Linked DNA regions of Tribolium castaneum. Each later gene encodes a partner of the first gene's protein in a complex. Links are inferred from orthologs where the notes say so. Each region holds a gene or a part of one and is shown on either strand. Other genes may lie near its edges.

Region 1 (4,371 bases):
ACCGGAGTATTCGCCCGGCTCTTCATTGGAGTGATAAAATTACCAAAACTCTCTAAATTACTCTCGGAGAAAACGTCGTCTTTTGGAAATTCAATTTCGTTAAAAACGATAGTTTTCATTAAGTTTGCAGAATTGAGGTCAGTGGTGCTTGAACTACTCTCAGTTTCGCACGTCTCGTTAGGGTTTGCAGGTTTAACAAAGTCGCCACTCTTGAAATCTGATCCGTGCAAACTGAAGTTGAAATTTTTGTGATTTAATTCAACTCCAGAACTGTTGACGAAATCATTCGAGGCTGAATCGGGCGTACTTAACAATTCTTTACGCTCGCGGTGGGCCTTTTTTGTTGGTGAATCGGAAACGCTCGAGTTATCCGATGCAACTGACGCAGTTTCGTTATTTTTTTGTTGTGAGTTTTTCGGAGACTCGGTTTCTTCGTCAAGGTTTATTACCTCAACAGGTGTCTCCACTGGCTCAACAAATACAACATCGTCATTTGACGACTTGTTTTCACTAATATCTTTCTTATTATCATCGTCTGAATCACAAACAGACAAAACCGGCCAATTTTCAGGAATTAACACACAGCTATCCTCCTCGTTCTCACTATCGGACAATGTAATGACCTTGTCACAATTACTTGGTTCTTGGTTTCCCGGTACGACACCTGGTGTTTGTTTCGGAGGTTCCTTCTGAGAATTGGCCAGTTTCTCCAATTTCTTCTGCTTCCTTTTGTAGTTTTTCCAGCGCGCCTTATTACGATTTTTCTTAGGAGTTACACAAACTATCGGACTTTGAGGAGTCAAAACAACTAGTTGGTTGATTGATATATTATCAGGCCTGTGGCGCCTGTTGCAACTTTTTGAGTAAAACCCTGGATGGGACTGGTCATTATCCTTGAAAGTTGGTGGTCTTGTGTTTTGTTTTGCATGCACACTTTTTTGGAATTTGCTGCCAGGGGTCCAAGGGCCGAAGTAACGGGCCTGATTTTTCATGTTTTCGGGGGCCAAAGGCGCGACTGGTGCAGACGGAAGGACTAAATCGCTTTCGGTATCAACCGAGTGGTAAACTTGACTATAAAGACGTGATTCGATTTCTTCAAGGTCCAAGTCATTCTGGAACAATACACGTAGATTGCTCAAATTGTAATAAGTTGAACAATACCATGGTTAGTTGTAAATCTACATTTTAAAAGTAACAGTACGAGAAAAAAATTGTAACTTGAACCAAAAATTAGTAACATTTGACAGCGAAAGCGAAACACACGTGGTTTTCGTCACCAACTTTGCGGAGGAAAACGCACTAGTGGGATACGATTTCGGACGCGAAATCCGAAAACAACTCACTTTACCTCCTGTACATTTGTCCGGGTTAAATCCGAATTATTGTCTTTAATTTTGATGATGTAAACACTTTCCGTTCGCTTGGAATTAACGATAAGATAACACGAAAGTTGATTGTGTAACTTGCATTGGCAACACTTATATCTATTGACGGTTGGGAATTTTCGCTTTTTCCCTAAATTGTTTTCTAATAATAATCATTTTAACAAGTTTTTTGCAAATAAAGCCCGTTTTGCGACATGACCGTGACCGAATCCTCGGAACACGACGGTGAGAAAGACGAGAACAGTGCCGAGGCCCCCAGCGAAGACGACAAAAACGTCCTAACCTCTTACATCCAAGAGGTGGAAGAGAGGTTTGTTTGCAAGCAAGAGCTGCGAAGTGCCAACCAAAATGCGGCAAATACGCGCCCCAGCGAGTCCCACTTCAGCAAGCTGGACTCCAGCCTCAAGAAGAACACGGCGTTTGTTAAGAAAATCAAAAACTTCTCTGCCAACCAAGTGGACACATACTTGAAAGACATGACGGGGCTGAACCTGTCCAAGTACATATCGGAGATTGCGGCTGCGATAGTCGATGCTAAATTGAAAATGACCGATGTGGGCGCAGCCGTAAAGATGTGCAGTGTTTTGCACCAGACTTACGCTGATTTCTCGCAACACTTGTTTGAGAACTGGCAGAAAACCCTGGCCTTTAAAGTGGGTGAGAAGATTCCAAATCCGAGTAAACTGAGGGTGGATTTAAGGTTTTATGCCGAGTTGGTGCAGGCTGGGGTGTTTAGCAATAAAAACGCGTTCACTTTGCTGGGGACCGTGATCACCACTTTGGTCAACATGGACAAGGACGAACACTACAATTGCTCAATAATCCTCAGCTTTTGCAAGCACTGCGGCGAAGATTACGCAGGTAATTTTGGTATTTTTCGCCCAATCAACTACTCGTATCCCCAGGCGGACCGCATATTAAACGCCAGTCAAGTCGATAAAAATGTTAATTTTTTCGAAATATAGGTCTGGTCCCTCGCAAGATGCGGGAATTGTCCGAAAAATTCGACATCCCCATCCCGAAGAGCACTTTCCTGCCGCCCGAGAAGCAGCAAAACGTGCGCACCTTGCTGAGGGATTACTACGTTTCGCTCAGTAAGCATCTCGTCAAAGACCACCAAGAGATCCAAAACTTCGAGAAGCAGAACATGAGGATACTCCAAACCAAAGGCGAGTTGAGTCAAGAACGAAAAGACAAGCTCGAGGCGCTTCAAACATCGTACGATAAATTATTAGCTTCGACACAAAGTTTTGCGGAAATTTTAGACGAAGATATGCCAACTTTGAAAAATCAGACTCTCATGAAAAATGATGAGGTGGCTTTAATTAATTGGGTGGGATAAAGAATTAACTGAGAATTTTTAGAGTATGATAGTGACAGGTGCGGGGCCCGATTTGGACGAAGCTGCGTTGGCTAATATCGAGAATGTTTGGTGCGATATTGAAACGCAGAGGTTTTACTGCGAGTTGCCGGAATTGCAAGCTTTTTTGCCGACTTCTTATATAAATAAACAGGCGCCTCCGCCCGAGGAGTCGGTCACTGAGGAGGTGCTGGATTCGGAAATACCAACTGAAGAACTGGAAGATGACGGTGGGTAAATTTGATAATTTATCTCAGAAATTTTTGTTTTGAGACATTGTCGTCTAGAAAAAACTGTCTTGAATGTTACCGCTTTTTTATCTTCAGTAAGAAAGAGTCCTAGAGATTAAAAAAAAAATTTGAATATATCCGTTCCGTTCAGAAAATAATGGTTGCAACCCCTCATATTAGGGACCGTTTAGAAACCGCTTATAATTTTCTATCCAATGAAAAAACGGCATTTTACGAGGCATAGTTTCTGAAAAACTACTAAGGATTTTCCAGGTTTTCTTGGACCAATCGATTTGCGCGAATCATTTATTAATTATTAATAGATTTGTCATAAAAAAAAATTACGCTGATGACGATACTGTTTGACGTTCTCTTATTTCGTCGTAATCGTCATCCGAAAGTTAAATAACTTTGAGATATTGATCACGAGTAGAAACCTGCATCAATTCATTCTAGTTTTTTATAAGGTTTACGTTGATCGATTCGTTGGAATCGGTACTTAAAAAAGTCAAAAATTTAGTTTTCTAAAACTTTTAACGCGTTTTTTTCAAAAACTATAAAAGTCCGACTAGAAAAAATTAAAAACCGTCAGTCTCTACTTTTAATTCTTTATCAAACAGTGAAAATCTGGAATCAGAGTCGATTTTATAAAAAAATATGACTTGAAAACTAACGGTTCCAGTGTTATGTAAGCGAATTATGTTGACCTACTAAGAAACTGTCGGCCTCAAAATACATGTCGGAAACTGCATATTTGAAAATTAAAATTCCTCCACGATTTTTACAATCTTTAATGAATTCTACTTTCATACATTCAAAAACTTCAATTTTTTACGCTTAACCAACAAATTAATGATTCCTATGCGAAGAACTGCCGAGATATCGACCGTTGATATTTTTGAAATTAAATATTTTCTTTATTAAAAAAAAATATATAATTCCTTTGGGCTACGGATCCCCGGATTATTTTTATAAAGTTATAAGTTTCATCAATTCCGGGGTGCTCCGAGTGGTTTCCGAAAAACACGGTGATATTATGTTTTTAATGTCTCAGCGCCCCAGAAATGCTCAAATATTCATCGCAGAGCATTTTCACCGAGTTTCACTAATCGCATTGTGTTGAAGACGTCATTTTACGATTGGAAAATTTATTCATGTAGTAAAATCGTAAATGCTAATGAAATAAATTCTTGAAATTTTCACACTTCGACTAATTGATAAAAGAACCATTCCCAAATTTTTTTTGTAATTAATAAAGTCTTAGCAGTTTTATAAAGTTTTTATAATAAGTGGTATCACAATAACAAATTTTTACTTTATTGGTTAAACAATCGGCAATTTTTTATTTAAACACAAACCAGACGCGTGATTTATTAGAAGATGGTATAATTTGCCA
Region 2 (4,273 bases), on another chromosome or scaffold:
ATAGAAAAAATTGGAGGGAAAACGCGACAATTCTGGATGCATCCTGTATTGTACTTCCAAGCGAAACGGTCGAATTCCCAATACCACCAACCTCTCAAACAAACTTTGGGACAATCCAGCCCTTGCTGCTTTCTTACACATAACAACTGGACCCAACTGACAATGATCACCAACCAAAATCAATTGTTTCACTCCTAGTACCACCGGTACCATACATTCGGGTTCAGTCGCTTGCATACTTTCATCAATCAGAATCGAATGAAATTTCAAACGAACCAATCGTGGATCACCTGCCCCCACACAAGTACAACAAATAACATCGGCAGCTTCGAGTAATTCTTTCTCAGCCAATTTTTTCAACATTCTGTATCGTTTCTCATCAACTGAACTCAACTCTCCAGTCTCATCTTTCAACTGTTGCAACTTCTGGAGTTCAGTATTGGCTTCCATTTTACGTATCTGATTATGCAATGCAAGAAAACTCACAGGCGAATCAATCGCTTCGCGTGATTTCGCACACAATCTTACAACTTTTAGATTAGTTTTGTGAATTTTTTCGGTAAGTTGGTCAACTGCCGTATTACTGGGAGCACAGACTAGGACTGGACCGCCGTTTTGTTTCACCAATTGATAGACGATGGTGGCGGAAGTTACGGTTTTTCCCGTTCCGGGAGGACCTTGGATGAGGGAGAGTGGACGCTGGAGGGCATGTTTGACGGCGTAGACTTGCGAACGGTTCAAGTCGGGAAGATTAGGTGCCGAAAAATGTTTAGGGAGGTGACAACGGAAAAGGACCTCTTCGACCTCGTGGCCGAGGAGGCGGTGGTAGATGTAGGCGGAAACGGATGTATCGTCAACGGCGAATTTTCGCAAGGCGAGTTGCATCCTGCAATTAACAATAAAGGCGAGCTCAGAAAAAAACGACGTGAAAACTTGTTTTCACATAATTATTTTTTTAATTAAATATTCTTAGAAACCTTATAAAAAAATTACCACATTAATATAGCTTGAAATATCAACGCTTAAAATTAACATCTTACAAAGATTTTTTTAACATTCGGAAATAAGAAGTGAAAATGCGTCACTTCTCTCATGCTTTTTTTTTAATTACTGTGATTTTTAAAATAAAGTTTGATTGTAATATTATACTTATATTTAATGTGAAAGTTTATAACAATGGTACTTTCAACGTTTGACTACTAACAGTAAAACATTAATTAAAAAAATAAATAAAAAATGTGATACATAAAGAGATTAACGTGATTATTTCTGTTTCTATCACAACAACGAAATTTACCTGTCAAAACTGGTACTTTTCCAAATGAAATCCACCACAAAGTTGCTGTTACAATCGGTGGGAGCCCCATTTCCGTTCTTCAACTCAATGCCAATATCCTCTCCGTAATTATCAGGAACTTTGATAACGTGTCCCACCCCCGCCCATGATTTATGCATTTCTCCCACGTATCTAAGTCTCAACTCATCTCCGTGCATTAATTTCATATCCCCGTCAGTTTTAGCAAGAGTAAAATACGCAATTGTTTTCTTATTCAAACCCACATCCCACCTAACTTCAATATTTTCCTGAGTCTGAGACTCCTTCAATCTTTTATCATAATCAGCTTCAAGCTTAACAAGAGGACCAAAAATGTTTTGGTACTGATAACCGTCCTCATATCGCAATAAAACCTACCAAAAAAAATTATAATAAATACGTTAGAACTGTGCAAACAAGACTAACTTGTTGCGGTTCTTCGTCAACTCCTGGCCGTTCCAAATCCTGGAACGTGGCATCAACATTATCTTTCCAAAGTTCTTCAAGTTTGTTGATTTGTTGGGCTGAGATTTGGCGCGCTCGCAGTTGTTCCTGTTCTGATGGTATTTTTACAAGCCATGTGAGAAAACACCGGTCGGTAATGAGTGGTTTCCATTGGTCTTGATCCCAGTTCATGTCCTATTAAAAGCTTGAAAACTGTCCTATTTTAAAAGCAATGACTTACTTTAAGTGAGTTTTGGGCGGCACAAGGTTGGCGGCAAAGTAGCACCACAACAGAGTCAGCTTTGGCAGGAATGAACCCCAAAACAAAAACATTGCGGACGCCACAACTGTAACATTCAAGGATTGTCTCGCCCAAAGGGCCGTCCTTGTGTAAGGTCACTTCCTTGTGTTTGGCTCGGACCTAAACCCCAATCAAAAAACAGTTTCCAAGTTGAAATTCCTCACCAAATGGTTGATTATGTGGCTTCCTGAGGTGTTTCCTCTCCCGTTACAAAACCACTTTTTGCAGCAGTTGCACATGACAACGCAATTCGGCTCATGAATGCCGCAGTACTTGCACGCGTAGTTCGGGAGCTCCTTGCTGTTGAAATACTCCTCATCCTCTTCCTCGAATTGCAGTTCCCCTAAAGCACTCGTCGCATTGGCGATTTTGTTGTTGATGTTGTTGTTGAGCTAAAACAACAACGTCATACGACACTGAACCAGGGGGCGACCTTGCACTAACCTGTACACCGGAAACTTTGGGGCCCGCGTGGTCGTGCTGCGAGGCTTGCGTTTGCGATGGAATTGTGAAATCGGTGAATTCGCATTCGGATCCTTGGGTGTCAGCCCCGATCAAGTCGTTTTCTTCGGTCTCTAAAAACGTGAGAGTTTGCGAACTGGGGCCGTATGCGTCGACACTCATCTTGGAGATTTCGTCGCGAACGAATTGAAGCACGGGTTTATTCACGTTTACTGATGAAACACTTTTAACACTTCAATTGATGACAACTCGACTATGGTTACTTTAAAATTTCTACATTTTTCTCCTGGCAAGCGCCATATTTTCCTGATTAATCATTTGTTTTTTTATCGTCATTTCTCTTTCCGAAGCATAATTGACGGAGCGGGAAACTTAAACACTCGTGCTATCTTTTTCAGTTTTTAGCGCACTGATCTTTTTTATGGCCTCAAAATTAAAAAGTGGTTTAGGAAATAGATTATTGCACAACCTTATTGTCTAATTTAATCCCTAAGCTTTTTTTCGTTGGTTGGCACGGTGTTATCATTGTGGTTACCATCTTATCGGAGTGAGACACGTATCGCAATCTTTTAAGTTAAAGAGAGATAAGCATATGTTTGATTGTAGAAGTGGCTAAGGCTGCGTCACTTTATGATTTGATTTTTCACTTTTTTGTAAATTTTACATTTAAACATTATTTTTATTATAAAATTATAGCATAAAGTTTATTGATTTTTCGGTTTTTATTCAACATTCAACACATGACTGCAAAAAAGAGGCATATCAAAATAAAAAAAACACATTTTTCAAAAACAGCCGATTTTTCAGTGAAATTTTATCGGTAATAAGTCAAAAACATAAAATGATGTTCGTTTTAAAAGAACGTAAATTTACGAATGTTTTTGTCGAAATAAATAAAACTAAAAAACGTAATAAGTTTATTGAGTAGATGACCAATAAAACAACTGAGCATTTGGTTTTGCCTACCTAATTATTAAATTAAAAATGGACGAAAAATGGCGAAATTATTATGATTTATGATTATTGAATTTGATATTGCTATTACAAACTTTATCCATAAAAATAGAACGTGGACTCAATAAAAACATTATCAAGAAATGACTGTATTTTATTAAATTAATAGAAATCACACATGCTCTTTATTACAACTGGCACTCCTTATTTTTTAATTCTTCTCATGTTTAAGTAGCTTGCGGTTACTTAAATGCTCACGTATCATTCTGGTTTCCCACAGATACATAATAAATATTACGATGATATAATTGATAGTTTGAAAACTGTTAACTTTTTATTAGGTTTTTGTACAGCGACAATTCAACACATCTATTAATAATTTATTAAAGTTTTACTGCATTATGACCCAACTCATAAATAGTATTGATTACAAATTCCCAACTACACTACAATGAGTATTGTTACAAAATATTTCTTAAACACGTCTCTACATGGCTTGCATTTCATAGCTGATAAGAGATTCCACTGGACTGAAAGATTTTTTTGGACAATATGTGTCCTAACTTCTTGGGTAAATCCCACAAATCGTCAAATTTTTACCACAATAAAATAGATTCACAGGCCGCATCGATTATGCTAATGTTTAACGCACTAGACCAGTATCAAAACCAAAAAATATCCTTTTCAGTGGACACATCTTACTTAAATTGGCAAACAAACTTTCCTTCAATTGTTATTTGCGAACGATCAAATCCAAAAAAAATGCTCGAAGCTAACAAGAAGTAAGTTAATTGTGA

What was found.
Region 2: the proteins of Upf2 (region 1) and regulator of nonsense transcripts 1 are in contact, whole or in part, in a crystal structure (PDB 2WJV), measured with the Homo sapiens proteins. The link is inferred for Tribolium castaneum from reciprocal best matches to the Homo sapiens genes UPF2 and UPF1. Residues at the interface, in NP_056357.1 of Homo sapiens: Val1105, Cys1107, Glu1109, Asp1110, Phe1113, Ile1114, Ala1116, Leu1117, Met1120, Met1121, Asn1124, Leu1125, Arg1128, Met1169, Pro1170, Phe1171, Val1172, Met1173, Leu1174, Thr1175, Gln1181, Lys1184, Leu1186, Asn1187, Val1188, Pro1189, Ser1192, Gln1193, Leu1194, Asn1197; in NP_001284478.1 of Homo sapiens: Asn150, Thr151, Ser152, Gly153, Val157, Asn158, Leu160, Val161, Arg162, Lys164, Lys166, Pro175, Leu176, Gly177, Thr179, Tyr184, Cys188, Asn190, Val191, Phe192, Leu193, Phe196, Pro198, Asp202, Ser203, Val204, Val205, Val206, Leu207, Cys209.

What each region holds. Positions count from the first base shown.
Region 1 is NC_087394.1:28,282,256-28,286,626, forward strand, and holds the start of Upf2 (regulator of nonsense transcripts 2), read left to right. Parts: upstream 1-1,489; 5' UTR 1,490-1,579; coding exon 1,580-2,246; intron 2,247-2,350; coding exon 2,351-2,700; intron 2,701-2,749; coding exon 2,750-2,975; intron 2,976-4,371. Other genes in the region: uncharacterized protein Zcchc7, read right to left, coding at 1-992. UniProt on the Homo sapiens protein: Involved in nonsense-mediated decay (NMD) of mRNAs containing premature stop codons by associating with the nuclear exon junction complex (EJC).
Region 2 is NC_087397.1:527,820-532,092, reverse strand, and holds the start of regulator of nonsense transcripts 1, read right to left. Parts: upstream 3,018-4,273; 5' UTR 2,685-3,017; coding exon 2,505-2,684; intron 2,453-2,504; coding exon 2,225-2,452; intron 2,181-2,224; coding exon 2,001-2,180; intron 1,955-2,000; coding exon 1,742-1,954; intron 1,690-1,741; coding exon 1,298-1,689; intron 887-1,297; coding exon 1-886. Other genes in the region: sodium channel protein Nach, read left to right, coding at 3,928-4,047, 4,098-4,258. UniProt on the Homo sapiens protein: RNA-dependent helicase required for nonsense-mediated decay (NMD) of aberrant mRNAs containing premature stop codons and modulates the expression level of normal mRNAs.